Linked DNA regions of Drosophila melanogaster. The protein of the gene in region 2 interacts with the protein of the main gene of each other region in a pairwise test. Each region holds a gene or a part of one and is shown on either strand. Other genes may lie near its edges.

Evidence for each region. Proteins that work in one complex are often made in the same cells at the same time.
Region 1: the proteins of X11L (region 2) and rst interact in a two-hybrid assay, tested with the Drosophila melanogaster proteins (one study listed by BioGRID).
Region 3: the proteins of X11L (region 2) and Appl interact in a two-hybrid assay, tested with the Drosophila melanogaster proteins (one study listed by BioGRID).

What each region holds. Positions count from the first base shown.
Region 1 is NC_004354.4:2,970,782-2,975,800, forward strand, and holds the start of rst (roughest), read right to left. Parts: upstream 3,054-5,019; 5' UTR 2,620-3,053; intron 1-2,619. UniProt on the Drosophila melanogaster protein: Required for correct axonal pathway formation in the optic lobe and for programmed cell death in the developing retina.
Region 2 is NC_004354.4:17,598,073-17,605,634, reverse strand, and holds the start of X11L (X11L), read right to left. Parts: upstream 6,028-7,562; 5' UTR 5,956-6,027; intron 5,645-5,955; exon of another isoform or gene 5,214-5,644; intron 4,863-5,213; 5' UTR 4,730-4,862; coding exon 4,331-4,729; intron 4,256-4,330; coding exon 3,716-4,255; intron 3,654-3,715; coding exon 3,540-3,653; intron 3,484-3,539; coding exon 2,542-3,483; intron 2,480-2,541; coding exon 2,164-2,479; intron 1,940-2,163; coding exon 1,800-1,939; intron 1,662-1,799; coding exon 1,656-1,661; intron 1,565-1,655; coding exon 1,199-1,564; intron 1,141-1,198; coding exon 664-1,140; intron 594-663; coding exon 453-593; intron 398-452; coding exon 326-397; 3' UTR 1-325. Other genes in the region: CG12991 (uncharacterized protein), read right to left, coding at 7,257-7,388, 7,451-7,562.
Region 3 is NC_004354.4:529,604-534,222, reverse strand, and holds the start of Appl (beta amyloid protein precursor-like), read right to left. Parts: upstream 3,054-4,619; 5' UTR 3,034-3,053; intron 2,597-3,033; 5' UTR 2,425-2,596; coding exon 2,347-2,424; intron 1-2,346. UniProt on the Drosophila melanogaster protein: During development, plays a role in the regulation of the neddylation pathway. Appl and APP-BP1 interact antagonistically during development.

The DNA.
Region 1 (5,019 bases), about 15 Mb from region 2:
CCCTTATAGCCTCCTCCTAATGATGATGGCTTGACAAATATTTATTGCTTAAGCATTTGAGTGCAAATATTTTAATTAGTCTGGCGACAAGACAACAGATCTGGAAATGGAAAGTATAGATGGAACTGGATCTGGGATTCGGACTTCTGGACTTCTGGATTCTGGGCCCCATTTCTCAACGCTGATGAGGCTTAATGAACTGCAAAGCGGCCCTCAATTGTCTTCAATTAACCAAATTAACCAAGGGATAAATTGCTTGCCTTTCGAATGCCCTCGTCTGCATTTCTTTTTAGAGATGAGATGAGAAATTAGCTGGCAGATGCAAATACCAGGCAATAAGTCTTTTCTTATTGTACCTAAATGATATAAAATACCAATTATTCATTAAACGAAGCACTTTCTTAAACAAAAAAAAAAAACAGGCAAAACGGATGAGCGCAGCAGTCAAATCGGTGGAACCGATACGGCAGAAACTGTCAAAAAGCCTGACAGCTCCGCTCTCAAGGTAATCCATCCAGCGCGGTGGGGCAAAAGGGGGTGACGAACATAATTTGTGGCATGCAAAGAACTAACAAAGCGACAGGCAGGCGAAAAAAAAAAAACAAAAAAAATGCAAAATCGCAGGGCGAAATTGAAAAGGAAAAATAAGTTTCGACATGCTGACGAGGACGCGTCAAAACGATCCAACAAATGCGGCCTCGCCAATCGATAACACAGCAACAAAAAGTGCAGGAGAAATACAGGCGGCAGCAACAACTTGCGACATGAGCATGTTGCACTTCCTGCCACGCCTACCGAACGCCTCTTTTGCCATCCTTTTCCCACACTCCCCAATTTCCTCCTGTCGATTGTTTCAGACGTTTTTAGCAATTTGCAATGCCAGCAAATTGGGCCAAATTATAAAATCCAAAAGCTACACACACGTTCCCAAATACACTTTAAAAATATTTTTTCTTTTTGTTTTCAAACCAAAAAACTTAATAACGTTATTCAAAATGAATTTATAGGAGCTTCAATCAAGATAAATAAGTATGAAAATAAGTTAATTTCAATTAAAAAAAAAAAGAACAAATACTTTTTCTGGTCAAAGACTAACTTTTTTTGAGACTAGTTTTCTTAATCGTGCTTTAGCAAATCTCCCAGCCAATCAATATTTTTCCGGTGTTTATCATGCGACATATATGAACCCAGAGGATGGAGCAGAGTAAGTAAAAGGTTAGCTTGCCAAAGAAGATTGAAACTTTGCTTGCTTTTTTAATGACAAGGGACAGGTGCGTGAGTCTGAAGATACGCTTGTATATGCATTTGCAGATGTTTGAGTATCTGTGTGCAATGTATCGATGTATTGGTAAAGCTTCTGGGCCTTCAGCTTCTTTAGCTCGCATTTCTGTTCTTTAACACCACAGCCGCTAGCAACATTTTCTTCGCTTACAGCTGGGGGGAGTTACACAGAGAAAAATTTTATGAGTAATAAATAAATTTCTATTGGATTTGGAATAATTGATTTATGATTTTTGAATGTGTCAATAAGAGAGTCGAATTACTGGCATTTCACTTAATCAATGACAAAAGGAATTAAATGTATTTGCAAATTTATTTACTTAAAACCAAATGAATTAATCCATAAATGTCAGAAATAAACCATTGAAATAGGTATACCATTCGAATGTTATAAATAAATATACGCATTAAAGAATTACACCAAAGCGCACATTTAATATACATTGCCTATTATGTAGATTAAAACTTGAAGTTGAATGTTATACTCATTAAAGTTTATCGTTTGCCGTAAATTATTCAGAATGATTTTAGCATTGTTTAGCATATATTCAAGTAGATTTTTTGTTTGTGTACATACTTGTATACGAACAAAAAATCATTCTATACATTTAATATTAATTTTTCAACTTAAGTGCTTACGAAATGCCTAATCGTTGACTAGCTTTGTACATTTTGTTTTTCAAAGTTATTGCTTTAAATCATAAATCATGCAAAACCAAGGAAAGAAGAGATCGAATCAGTTAAGAAGAGCACTTTTTTCTATAGATGCTCAGAGGGATGGAATGGTCAGAAGAAGCTAATTAGGTGTCCAAGGTCTGGAGTTGAAGATCTATTATTGTAGAGGGGAAAGTATATCTGTGATATACAACTTAACATAGATTTTGTATAATAAACCTCATTTTCAGATTGATAAGATCTAAACGTTATTCGAAAGATGGTAATTTAATTTATTTTATATTTTATTACATTTTAATATTTTCAGCAACTAGTACTTGCCATTGGGCATTTCATTAGGCAGAAAGGAAAATATAAATTTTGCTTTAACAAAGTCTACTTACAACCAAAAATCATGCTTCCATTTTCAATTAAAAACACATATATTTTCTTCGAAAAAAAAAAAAATACACTCAAGCAAACTCGAAATCCAAATGCCAAAGTGGCCAAAAGCGAAACTTTTGAGGGGCCAAAAGAGGCGGAGACTTGGCCAGTAACAGTATATTATAAACAAAATCAAACGAAAAGGTCAAAGTGAGGGAGCAGCTGTTGCAGTTGGCGCATGAAAAAAGCCAAAAGCACAGGAGTTTTCTTTAGATTTTACTGATGAACTTTTTTACTCACACTGTTTGTTTGTAATCAATTTAAACAATTTCGGCTCCTTAGTCCTCTTATATGCATATATATTTTTAACTGACTCTGACCGGCCACTGGCACTAATCCATAATTGTTGGGTTGACAATTTTCAGCTTGTTTGGTTTTTCGGGCTTTGTTTTTATGATAGCCTTGTTTATTCCATTTTAAGCACACACTTTTCCACTGGTAATCCACACCAAAATGAAATTTTTTGGCTTGCGTTTGCACCAAAAAAAAAATTGACGTTTAGTTATATATTTCGTTTTAATTATCTGAGATTTACTGAGAGTTTTCTCGGGCGAATATGCGATGCGAGTTCTCGTCTTCGGGGTCTCGAAAAGTATCTGTGAGATACCAGCTATCGAAAGTACGGAGTTTCCGCCGCTACGAAGCGAACGGTACGAGCGAACGGAACGAAGTGCGAACTCGATCCAAAAATCCGACTTCTTCGGCCGGCGCGGCTTGTCTTCAAACAAAACAAAGCGACGCAACATGTTCGATGATGTTGCAAGTGGTGTTTCAGGCTCTAACAGCATGCAACAGGGCTAACAGCGCGGCTCGATGCAACCTCTGTTCTATGTTGTTATTCATTTGGATTATGTTTGGCAGCCAATGTTTTTTTAAATTCCCATATATATGGGATATATGTTTTCATATCATATATTTACTATAAGTTTTCAGATGCAATGTATAAATTATATTAAAAAATATTATAAATTATTTATACGAATCAATTTAGTGTTCGCTATACATATCTTTTTTGTTTCTGTGCACGCAAATTTGGGGATATTGCCAGCCGATGTGCCACGATTTTTGGCCATCTGTCTTTTGGCCTTAATTGCACTCTGATTTGCTGTTAGCAGCGCCACCTTCCGCCAAAAGTGTGGACCACCAACTGTTGCCGGAGAAGATAAAAAACAAAAAAAAAAAGATCACATAAAGTATAAACCCTTTAAACACTGCAGATTGAGATAAAGTAGGAGAATTGGCCGTCAAGAGGTCAATGCTGTCGGGACAGCAGCTGTTCACCAATCTCTCCTCCTTCTTCGCACCCACAATTCTTCCCGTTTTGGTAGAAATCTGCAGTCTTTCTTCCGATTGTGGAATGCCAGAAGGGCTGTGAAGAGCGACATATGGTCCTCTACAGAGCAATTTGAGTAAAAAGTCCAAATCTGTGGCTTGACAAAACGGCGGAAATCCCATGGGAACCACACAGAGAAGTGTTTAACATGATTTTCAAAAAGAAGCTATTAATTTATCATTAAATTAGCTTAATTTTTACATTAAGCAGCCCTTTTTTGAAGTGCCAACATTCCTGCGCTTTTTGCTGCATGCATAATTTTAGTTGGCTTAAGAACATTTCAAATGTCACACTTGTAGTAAAGCCAAGCTCAGCTGAAAACTCAAACACTGTGGGAGCCATTTTACTAGGTGCGACTTGTTAATCAATCGACTGCATGATGAGTTGATTCTAAGTTTTCCCATAATTGAATCGATACACAAGCTGTGCGCTCCACGAGAGATAGGGAGATACAAAAGATACAAAGATACTACCAGCGATGAAGATGGACTGTTGGATGGGAAGATTTCGGCACTGGAGACATGCAAGACCAAAATAAACAAGTTTCGGAAGGGAAATTTATGGCACGATTGCTGCGAACGCAATTTAAACTACGCGTGTGAGGGAGGCACCGCCGGAAAATCGGAAAATTCGGAGCGAGTGATGAAGTGTCGGCTCTCTTCCAATTTTCCGCTCTCTCTTCGCGCCTCTTTCCACGCATTGCTTGCCTTTTCGAGGGGGGATTTTCCAAGCACCGCTGATTTTCTTCGGCTCCCCAAGTAATTGTCATGTAATTTATGGCCGCCGTATGGGAATATCAATGCATTGCGCTCTAAATTTACACAAAGACGAAAGATAAGGCGAACGTTGTTGCATAGTCAGGGCATTTCCTCTACATATGCGTAGTCCAAAATTGTTTATAAACACCCCAACAAACTATAACAAAAAGCCTTTCTCGATAAGAAGGTTCATAGCCAGATCCCATAAATTCCATTCGCAAGATAGGATTTCTGTTGCAGCATTTTGAAACACTATATTACCAATAAAATCGAAATGCATGCACAAGTTTTGTCCTTAAATATTTCAGATAGCTCCCCTATCACGCACACCCTTTTTAACCCCAAACAAATTTGTTATAGCTAATTTGTGGTTTTTTCTTTTCAAATATATAAACTCATGGAATCTATACAACGTTTTAAAGTATTTCTTGAATTCAAGACTTATTTCCATAGCATTGTATCAAATCAAATGCTCTGTTTATCGCTATTTTTAGTTGACAGTTTTGGCTGCTCATTAATATGGTTAAAAGGTGCGGAGGGAAGAACTCT
Region 2 (7,562 bases):
GAACCAAAAAGTAGCATTTTCTGTAACTCCAGTAATAGTAATCTCTCTATTGCAGTTGTGGTCGCTGTGGACACCTGAACGATTTGACGACGAACAATTAATCTCATTGTAGACTTAATACATTTGCAATTCATTTAAATTAACTACAATTATGCTTGCAATGTGAATACATAAAGACAAATAATCAATGAACAATTTAAGACTAAACAAATTCCAATTTAAGGTCTCTTTGCGAATCGATGTAACTTTAAGCTGGTCAAGTTGCAGTTGACGAATTTATAGTTTTTCGATTCCAGCGTAGGCGTGTGAACAGTTGCATATATATTTATATATAGATTGGCGTCTCTTGACCGGTGAGCAAACGAAACATGGACGTGGGCATTGTCTTCATCAGGATCTGATTGGAAAGGTATTGTTAATATAAGAATAACGAATTTAAAAACGCGTCATACCTCGCCCACTGAGGATGACAACAGCTTGACAATGGTATCGTGTGGCACGGCCACAACGCTCTGGTTGTTAATCTCAATGATGCGGTGGCCTACGCGTACTCCACCCCGCTCAGCGATTCCTCCACGCAAAAGACTGCAGATCTGCATTAAATAAATACATATGATTAGAAGGATTAGAATAAGAAGAATAAATTCAGCATTTTATAATTACCACGCCATTTTGAACACTAAAACCCAACTGGAACAGCGCCTTGGGACGCAGGATCTTAACCTCGACGACAGGCGGACAGGGCACAACGGTGAACTTGACGGCAGTTTGGTTCTTGGCATTGCGTATGTAGCTCTGGCAGGTGGACAGCGGCAGTCCCACCAGGCTCATGCCGTTAATGGCGATCAGCTGGTCACCGATGTTCAGCTGGCCGCAGCGGGCAGCTGCTCCTGAACTCATCAGGTTGGCAATCACCACGGTGGGCAGCATGGATCCCCAGCCACTCTCTACGATCACCACGCCTAGGATCTCGCCTTTCGCCTTCGGCACAACTACCTCCTTTTGCAGCTCCTTTTTGGCAAAGATCTCCAGCTCATCACCGAAAATCTCCTGACTGTTGAGCACCTCCTGGTAGTCCATCTCTTTGGCCAGACTCTCGTTTTCGATGCCGTTCGCCTTCAGGAACTCCATGTAGGCCACCTGGTTAGGTTTTGATTGTTAATTATACGTGCCAATAATATTATTAATATTCGCGTACCTGGAAGGCCTGTCCAATGGACTGAGCTATGAACTGCGCCTCATCGCTTTCGAACACGTGGCAGATCATTTTGGGCGTGCGATTGTGCTTGCTGAGTGGCTCTTTGGGGGGCGACTCCTCCTCGCCTATGCCCGGAGTGGGAACATCACCTAATGGACTGGTGATCGATGGATCCACAACACTATTCGGTACGAATCGACGACGAGCCATCAGCACAACCAGATCGCCAATGTCAGCTATATAGGATATAGTACGCAGCGCATGGTCCATCATGATCTCCTTGAGATCCGTGTTAAGCACCATTATCTTTTCGGTTGATATGAACAGGTCCACTTCAGTGCTCGGCTGACTTTCGCCCTCGGGAGCCTGGTAAAAAAATAGCAAATCATATATTATATAATGCATTTAATTCTTAATGCTATCATTTGACGACTGAAAGGGGCTAACGAACGCTTACCAAAGCCTATCGAGAGGAATGCGCAGCAGGGAACGAGAAAAGCGAACGAGAAAGTTTTTAGACACACACATAGAGCATAACCTAGCGGGGTTTCCTTGAATGGATGTGCTTTCGTGTGCATCACCAGGTTTTCACTTCACTTACCTTGATCCTGGAAACGGCCTCCTCGGCCTGCATCATTCTGGTCGACTTGGTCGGCTGACCCTCGCAGACAAGTTGAGTGGATCCAAGGTATCTGGCCCGAAACAACACGCCCTCAATGAGAACTTTGGGTTCCAAGAGACCTAAGAACGAACATTATTTAAATTAGTTACGAAGTGCGTTAATGGTCTTCATTTCTGATTGTTAATACACATAAGGGTAGTTTAATAAACCTAAACATCTGCTGGGTAACAGAGACTTACGTGATGTCAGCATTAAATAGATTTGAATTGCAGCGTGAAATGTTGAATCGGTTTCCATATCAGTAAACGAACAACAAGGGGCGTTGACAACTGTGCTAACTTACCCTCTTTGTTCCGCGATTTGGCCTTCTTGTCCGAGTTGGCAGAGTCCTTCAGGGATTTAATAGAGCCCGTGGGACTTTTGGTGAACTGCAGTTTTTCCGGCGAGCTTATGGAGATGTCGGTCGTGCCCACAATCTGACAGATGTCCGGCGAATTGGGTGTCAACGAGGTGCCGATGCCTTGTCGAATGGTGGCCGTCGAGTAGGTTTGCGGCTTGCTATTATTCATAGGATTCGGATTGTTGTTGTCCGACGTGCCATTTAGATGCCCATTGCTGGCAATATCCGTGCCCTCATTGGCATTGTTATCAGCCAGGCTCTGTAAAATTATTATTTCGTAATTATTTTGAGCTGATATCTCTGTAAGTTTGCATTCCTCACCTGATCGGCGAAGAAATCCTGCTCATCGTGCCTCTGCTGACCCAATAGACGATCTGTTTCAAGGTCGGTGTCTGGTTCCTCATCCGCCGCCGCACCTTGGGCCGTCGAGATCGTCGTCCCTTTGCGTGGAACCCAAACCGGTGAATCTGGATCCGTGGGCAGCACTTCGTCACAGAATTTTAGTTTTTCAGGCTGCGTTTTAGCACGCTGCAAGGCGGAACGTATCTCCTTCATGGCCTCCTGGATTTCCGAAGCAGCCTGCGATGGCAAAGATCCTCCCGCAGTTACTGGTGTCACCCCCAGTCCTGATCCCGCTGACTTCTCTGTGTGAGTACCTCCCAAAGCTGCTGCATAAACCGCACCGTAGTGACTGTCCAGTGGATTATCAGCATCTGGGACCATGGTCATGGATTCACTTGCATCGGCGATCTCGATTTGGGGCGGCGATGATGGAGGCGGAGCCGGGGGCATGGGCAGTGAGGCGAAGTCGCTTATCAGCGCCGATTGCGAGGCATCTGTGGTCAATGTGGCCAAGCTGGCGCTCATCACATTGTAGTCGTTCTCCAGCCGCTCGCCATTACCGTTGTGCTCGTGGACGGGCTGAGATTGGGACGATTGCTGCTTGTCACACACCACGGATACGTTGTTCTCCGTGTCGGAGGCGTGGCCACTGCTCAGGCCATCTTCTAGGACAGGCATGCTCGTATACAGTTTACCAAAATCCGTGGGGCAGTTAATGTCGTTAGACAGACTGTCCAAATCACCGCAATTCGAATCGTAATCCGTCGTCTCGGGAGACAGGGTAAAGTTTCGGGAGTGTCGGCGCAGATTTGCCTCCAGTTCGGTGTCCGCCAAATCGCCGCTGCTTCGGCTATTCGAATCAATGTACAGCTCAATATCATTATGCTCCTGGTAGGCCGTCGATGGATTCTGGTCACTGGGCTAGAAATCGAACAATCGTTAGCTATTTTAATGAATTTCATTTCGTTATGACTCACTGGCTTTTTAGTAGGCGACCGGTGAACCATGTAGAGCTCATCTTTAGGTATTCTCGCCAACCGCTGTCCTATATATGCCTGCTCCATGGGCGTGGCTGGGTACTCTTGTGGCTGCTAGTCAATCAAAATGCAATATTAAATGGGTTTCTAGGCTTCTTGGAAGTAGTAGTACTCACCGAGCTAGCGACATCGTCTCCACTTTCCGTGGTGTAATCCGTGTACCGCTTTTCGTCCTCCGGATTCGCCTTGAAGAACTCCTCCAGCACCTTTCTGGTCTCTGAGAATTCGTACAGGTAGTCGAAAGTAGGTGTTTTCTCGCGAAGCGTCCCGGAACGCTCTTCCTCGTGGTCGACCAAATCGATAAGGTTGCCCACGGATGCTTTAGCTGCAGCAGTTGCATTATTAGCGACACTGGTGGTGGGCGAAACTCTTTGCGGGAAACCCGGCGGACGTTTTCTAGGACCACCCATGGTAATGGTATTTGTATTCGGTTGACTTCCAAATCGTCGCGGTGAACCCTCGTACTCGGCTATTGGCAGCTGTCCAATCATTTTGGTCACCTTGAGGACATCCTCATTGCTGCCTGGACGCTGGCCACTCGATGCCTTGTTCATCCAGTTTGTGTCAATGTCGTCGAACACCACGATCTCACCATCACGCAGGCACTGACCGTCCGCCTTGCCCACATCCGTTGGTGAGCCGGGGCTGGCCAATCCCTTAAAGAAAAAGCAGAAAAATCTCATTGTAGTGACTGAAACTACGCCTCTAAGTAATTCTCCAAGTTAAATTACCTGTGGCAGGACATCCCGTGTCTCAAACTGGCTGCCCGGACTCCTACCCAGTCGGATTTGATGCAACTGCGGTCGCTGGTAGTAATAGCTGCCAGAATCGCGTCCCGCATTCGAACCATAGCTGCCGGATCCCTGAACACCTCCGCCCGATGGCGAAAGACCCTGCAGCGGAACGTAGGACAGCTCGCCATTGAGATCCGGCGAATTGAGCACCGTGCTGGCTGGCGTCACATTTGGGCTACGGGTTCGCATCTCCCACACATAACGTTCCTGCTGCTGCTGCTGCTGCTGGTGCTGATGCGATTGCTGCTGCTGCGCCTGCTGGCCAAAGTTCATCTGTATGTGCGGTGGATTGACCATGGACTCGTTACTGCTGTCACTGCAGGAGTTTGAGTTCATGGCTGCACCAACAACTTTGATTCTCCAGGTATGAGGGACTGCGGCTTCGATACTACTACAACTACTGCTCTAGTGCTGCTGCTGCTGCATCCGCTGCTGCTGCTGCGATTGCTGCCTCACTGTGGGCCACTGCCTGGGGGAGAATGGATGATTAGTCGATGATCTAAGGCGGCAATGATTCACTGCGCTGCAGCTCAGCCCAGAAAAAAATCAGGGACAGGTGGTCGTGTCGATGACGTACTTTTGCTGGATACCTTGCCGCTGCGTACTATATATTTAAATCGACATAGAAATACCTGGATTACCGGGTGTGTTTAGACATACGCGATACGGACAACAGGAACCAGCACAGTAAAATGCCAATCTATAAAATTGCTGATTTGTTATTTTTGGACCTAAGCCTATTGCTTTAAATTGGGTTTGCCCCAATCATTCCCTAATCATTCTCATGTGTATTTGTATCTTATTACAGGTCCTAGCTCACCTCGTTAAATGTAATTGAGTTTAGCTAATAATAAGTATTCCATTGTTTCGAGCTTCGGTTTGTTGCTGCACTGGTTTGGTAACCTCTGGTTGTGGTGACCCCCTGGCTGGCCAGCGCAATCAATGCGGGCAATTAACCCACTATTGCCTGTCCATGTGTCTATATGTGGACACCTTTTTTAGGGCCCCCCGCCGCGGTTGCCACTGACCGAGCTTGCGAGTTTCCGAGTTCCGGAGCTACCGTGTCCGTGGTTGATTGCGCACACGTAAACTTGGCCTCCAAAAGTCCTCGCGCAGGCAAAACAAACGCAGGAAGCTGCAGCCAGACACAACAACCACCCACGCGAAGGTTGAAGGATGTGTGGTGGGTGGTGCAAGTGGGTGGTGCCAGGGGGCGATGGTGGTGCTGGTGCTAGCCCTTTGTTGTCGCCGATTGTTGCAATCACTCAGCACTTTGGAGGCGTGGGAAAAAAACAAACTCCCCGTTACCGTTATGTGTATCTATCCATGTGCGTATTGTTAAAAATCAATAGATTTGTCGTATTTTTTTTGCAGCTCCTTTGCTTTTCGTTTCGTTATTTTTTGGTGGGGGCACCGCACAACACAACACACTCATGCACACACTCGTCGCATAACGACGCACACACGCAGCGCACTCGAGCAACAACAACTGAAACGGCGGCAACAACAACACGGCCAGCAAATAGGCACGAAAACAACACCTGTCGCGGTTTTATATTTACCATTTAATTCATATTTATTGCACTACTCCTTCAGCAACTCGATTGGCGCAGAGCGATTGGCAGCAATATAGATAGTCTCTGCTAGAACATCGATGGCCTATCGATTGCTATCGACAGCGAACAGCCGGACAGTGTTGAGCAGCGTTAGAGGGTACTATTCAATTCGTACCTAAGTAGGTGCTAAAAGCCATTTTAAACATATTTAAATATGTTTCCTTCTCCACCCCAGCTTTACTTGACTTTACCCTTTCTCCTGTACCTTGCCCTAATTACGCGGTACCGTCTACTTTTCCAACACTCCTTGTACGATGAATTTCCCGCGCCAATTGATAACACTTTTTCGAATAATATCAGTTTAGCATTTAATGATTAATGTACTCCATCTGGGTTTTGTTTTTCGTTTAATATTTGCAACATTCGAACGGATAGTACAAGTACAAGTGGTGTATAAAAGTTCGATGAGCAAAATTGACAAGGATTGTGTGGCAGTAAACAGTTTTTCTTGTTCTTCGTTAGCTTATAATTCGTTTTATATATTTGTGTATATTGAAACAATTTCTTGCAGTCTTGCCAGAATTTCAGTGATAATAATTCGTTCGTTCAAGATTTATCAAGCAATTAAAATTTTAACAGCAAGTTTTGTTTTTCCATCGAAAACTTAATGAATTAAGTTAGGAATTAGACACGGATTATTTTCCCAAAAATTCTAGCAACACCGGTGTGTGGTTGTGTGATGTTTTCTTTTAATTGTTGTTTGCTTGCTTCGCTTTTAATACATTAATTACAGTGTAAAGTTGCTCTATAGGCTAAACTGGAAGGAATGATTGCATTTAATTGTTGGACACAAAGTTGGAAACTTAATAAATAGTGTTTTCTAAAATTAGACTTGGGTTGGGAAGGGCGATAAAATAGTCAACAATATAAATAAGGTTTAATAATTAACTAACAGATACGAGTACAATGGGTTGGTTTACAAAAATCGGGTTAGTGGGGAAGTTGTTAGGGAAAGGCTTTAACTAACAGTCAAGGCCAACAAAAACATTGCGCACTTAGGATCTACACGTACACTAAACATAATTTTGGTAGTTTTGGGCTTAAACTAGTTGCTCGTTTGGTTGCCTAACATTAGTAAATACATACACGCGCTTAAAAACTACGCTACTTAATGATTATGATGTCTGGTTGTCAAATCAGGAATGGAATTTTAACAGCGAAACGAAACAGAATCGTAATCGAAATCGAACCAAAGACGTACAATAAATGATAGAGGGGATTGGACTTCCAACGGGGAAGGCCGGAGATTAAAGCTTTGTATGTTTGACCGTATCCGTCCAGTAGTTCTGTATTGTCATCGCCTCCAGCGAATTGAGAAACGAGTCGTTGTCCAGGCTGTACATCTCATCCGAATTGTCCTGCAAAATCAAGAGAGAGAACTATTTAGTGCATAGGACATTCAAGCGCCACTGGCAATTGGTCAACGAATCCTTACACTCACCCGCATCGTGCTATCATCGATATAGACACTCGAGTCTGGTTCGCTGAGCGCCTGCGGTTTGTTCAGATACCGACGACGGTACAGTACGATCCCAATGGTGCCCACTGTGCAG
Region 3 (4,619 bases), about 17 Mb from region 2:
ATGGGCTGTTTGGCAGCAACGATTGCGTGTTCCGTTTGCCAGGTTTGAGGGAGACACATCGTTGGCATCGAGTGTTTGGGGAGATTCTCGGGTATATTGCACATTGCAGTCCGCAAATCCCTCCCTGCTTTCTGGATGATTCAGACATGTCCTTATAAAAAAAGAGTGAAAAAGGGCAGAAAGAATACAAGCAGAAAGGAGATAGCTACAAAACGGGTGAGCAACTGGGGAGGGCAGGGTACAAAAAAACAGAAATTCTTTTAAAAAAAGTCCCTAGTTGGTAATGCATTACTACAACATTGGAGGAAACCACTACTTTGGAAATCCCGCTTAAAACACACAGAACTTTGCCGACAGTTTTTTTTTTACTGAAAATGTGGGTTATATTGCAACCAACTGCTAGCATTTTTCACAAAGAAAAATGATCCAATATTAAAGTTACACGAAGCAAAAGGTATTAAAACGCTTTAGCAGTAGTTGTCCCAAGCAGGGTGGGAATGGTGGGTGCAAGCGACATAAGTAATCAACGACCACCACAAAAATGACGTCGGCGATGCGTGCCCCTGATAACAACGAAGCTGAAGGGTGGACCTGTGGGTGAGTGGCTGACCAGGTCCAGGCTAGTCCTGCCATGAATTGCACGCAGCGACGGTCTAGCATGAATAGCCGAATTAAGGGTAAGATGGGTGGAGAGTGAATGAACGAATGGAGAGCAAAGCAAATTGCAGGCTGCATACAAAGCAAGACATGAAAGGAGTGCAATGCGCTATAAAGCAGCTTAACTGCTCCCCTGTCCGGGATTGGGCCGAACTCCTGGCTCCTGGGTCCTTGGAGGTGCTGCCCCTCGGTTCTTCTCTTTCAATTGGTCTGTCTCCACATGAATATGGATTTTATTAGGTTTTTGTTCCGCCACAGAAGACTGTTCGCTCTGCGTTGCCAAGGGAAAATTGCTCCGAGGTATTTAAGAGACAAGAAAGTAAAGCAAAATTGTTAAGGTCAGGCACGTCGGCGATTGTGGATCGGCCCCAAAGAACGAGAGCTGCCGCCTGGCAAAAATTGTTTGCAAATGATTTAAAAACACTTTAGCTAAAGCTAACAATATCCTAGTAACGCATGTCTTCCCTTTTGGTTTGTCGGTAGGTGTGTGCGTGCACGTATGCCAGTCGATGAATTGACCTGAACAAGAGGATTCGTGGTGAATGCAGGTCCAGCCCCAGACCAATTTGGGGATTATGCTCAGACAGAGCCGGATAGTTTTTAGCCGGACTTAAACCCCAACCGAAGGACGCATAACCCGGCCCCGCACTCCATTTCTACGATATTTGCCAGTCGCTGCGTGTAGAAAATCAAAATCAAAATGTCTGCACGCCCTGTTTGGTTTCGGTAACACCTCCGCTACTTTTATATGCAAATTGCTAGTCGAAGCCAGCTGCTGCTATCCTCTAGCCTCAAGTTTTCGGTTTTCGGCTTTCAGTTGGCCAGTAGCCAGCGACAAGCAAACGGTTCAATTAAGCCAATACTTGCGCACACTCGCAAGTAATTTGGCAGCCCTATCACCCATCCCCATCCCATCCCCATCCCATACCCATCCCCAATCTCCAATCCCCAATCCCCAATCCCCAATCCCCAACCCTTTCCCGCCTTCAAGCCCTCGAGCCTTTAGTGCCGCTGCTAAGCGATGGCACATTTTTCGTAGCATACTTTGCGCGGCTGCTTAGCCGACGGCCACCACATCCCACAGAAACCCGCTCAAGTGCTTGTGTGCTTGTGTATCTGGCTCTCTGTGTGTGTGCGAGAGTGTGGGTGCCTGTGTGTGTGGGTTGCGGTTGCGATTGGTATTGCTGTTGCACGCAGAAAGTATAGAGCCACACTGCTATTTTGTGAGCCGTACTCAAGTTATACATAAGTTGGGTGTTGTGTCAGTAAGCCAGATGAGGCAGTAGCGCAACAACACAAGTCCCTAATTGCTGGAGACCTACTTGTCTTCCCCGGACACCGAATTAATATTGTTTTGACTTCTATCAGCTTCAATGCGTGGCTAACATCGAGCGTCGAGTTGTCTGTTTAAATCAATTTGTCATCCCGATTAAAGCCCTAACGAAACAATGTTTTAGTGTGCAGTTTTGCCCAGTTTCCCAGTGTTCTCTGTCAGTTTCATTTTCGGTTTGTGTTTCTGTTCTGAGTTTCGGCTCTTTCGACTTACTCCTTCGTTCCATCGAGTATTGTATCGAAAGTGGAGTGAAATGGTCTGGTGTGCTGTGGTGTGTTGTGGTGTGCTGTAGTGTGGTGTGTTGTTATGTCGTGTGGTGTGGTGTAGTGTGGTGTGGTGGGGATTCGGTGACTCACCTGAACCTGAGCAGTGCCAATGGCCAGGACGACCCAGAGGCTCCTCAGCAACAAATTACGACGCAGCGCGGCGCACATTGTTCGCACTCTTTTCTGCTTCTTTGCTCCTCGTCTGGTTGGCTCCTGGTCCTATCTCCTGGCTGGGAATCTCCGAGTTTGGTCTGAACTTAGCTGCTTCTGCGGCTGGACTGACGTGCTTCCAGTTCTGGTTAATTGTATTTGCTTTGTTGGCTATTCGTTTAACACTTTGCTGCACAGGCGGACGACGGTAGCAGCAGCAAGAAATCGAAAACACAAAAAAATTTCATTAGCAAGCGATTCGGAATTGTGGCCTTTCGTTTCAGCCTTTAACTTTCTGGGTTCTGGGTTATGATTTCTGTTTTCTGATTTCTGCGCTCTAAGGTTCGTACTCCGATTTCGTTCGATTTGCGGTGCCCAAGTTAGCTGCCCACAGCGCAGCGCTTTTCCTTTCGCCGATGCCCAGAAACCTATGCACGGAAAATGTCAACTCGGAAAACTCTGTGCGTGTGGCTTGTATGTGAGTGGCCGTAGTATTCGATTGTGGAACGTAGTAGGAGAGAGTCCGTGATGGGCGGGGGCGGATAAGGGAATTGAAGGAAAAGGAAGAAAAGAAAAATAAGGCAAAGCTACGAGAGTACTCGCTGCTATCTGTCCTGTCATACCCACTCGCTGGTTCTCGGGGTCCTGAGATTGTACTTCCCCGAAACGGAAAATATGAGTGGCACTATGGCCGCCGTTCTGCGCCTGGAAAAGTTGTCAGCTGCAGTCGTCGGGTTCCACGTCCCATGTCACTTGTCCATGTCTCCTGTCTCCTGTCTTGGCAGTTCCCACGCAAATCCACCCACTCGCTAACCCCTTCCCGCACTCTTGGAACGTATCCGTCGGGCTTCTGCGCACTTTCCCAACCCCTTTCTCACTGATTCTGCGCAGGTGCGCTGCTTATTGTCCCCCAGCTAAGTTGGCATCACAAATCCACTATTGGCATCGGCTTCGCTTTTTCTTTCCGAACTTGTATCACTTTGTTTTGGATGTTTCTCTATGGTTTTTGTTGTTGGGTTTCTTTTTTAGCACTATTTAGCACTTGAACAGCAAAAAAAAGTATTGAGCTTGTTTTGGTTAAATTTGACGGTCTCTCAATGTGTGTCTCTGGTTTTGTGCTTGTGGCTCCTCGGCCACCACCTCTCCGCCCGAGCGGGAGAACGACAAGAGCCACTGGCCAGCAGCCCCTGGCCTTCCCAAGCTGTCGGGGAGTGGTCAGATGGGGTGGCCCGAAGAAGCCCCTAAAGCGCTGAGTTTTTGGAGCCCTGGCTGTACGCTATACCTGGCGCTGCGAACGCTCACAAACGACTGCGAGTGGTCTCGTTGCCTGCAATCCTGCGAGTCCACGTCCGAAAGTGCGAACTGCGAAAGTCGAACTCGGGCGCAGAATGCAGAGCGCGTGCCCGGGATCGATATTAAGGGCGAATCGAGCAACTGGCCTTCCGCTTTCCGCGGGGGTGACAATGTTTTTGGCTGTCCGGGCTGCACTATGGTACCAGTGCTTCCAGTGGTAGTGGTATTAGCGGAACAAGCAGGACAGAAGTGACTAGGGAGAACTGGTTCCGCGGGCGAACCAAGAGTGTCTGGCGGAGTGCTTGTTAGTTAGTTTACATGCACACCGCTAGGTGGAAACTCCCAAGGGAATTTCGCACAGGTCACCGTCTTCAAAAGGCTGTCCTATGCACGAGTTTTTATAAACCACTAAACTTAATTCAAATTTGTTTTCCTCGATGGATTCAAGAGTTTATATACTTTTTCTAATGGTGAAGCCAATCTGCACTAGATGGCGTCGATATGTAAGATGTAAGATGTAAGATGTAAGATGTAAGATATGACCAAATCCAAGTTTCCCACCACCAACCACCCAATTTCCTATCCACATCACTTATTGCTTGGCCCTTAGCCAAGTTGCAAACCACTTTCGACATTATTTAACATGTTCATTTTTTCCTTCCCAGCGACTGGCAACTCTGTGCCGCACAGCTGATCTTCTTACCGGCTACAAATTAGATTTCTTACATTTGTTTATTTACGCCGCCTCCTACTTGCTAGGCCTCAGGAAAGCATAAACCTAGGAACGGAGCCTGGTACAGACACGGAGCTATACACCTACAACAACGCACATTTCACCTAGTTGCGCAACGCACTTAGCCGGCTGGCGTGGCAGTGCACGGTAAGCTGAAACGTACGTGGCAATGAATATGAAATCGAGC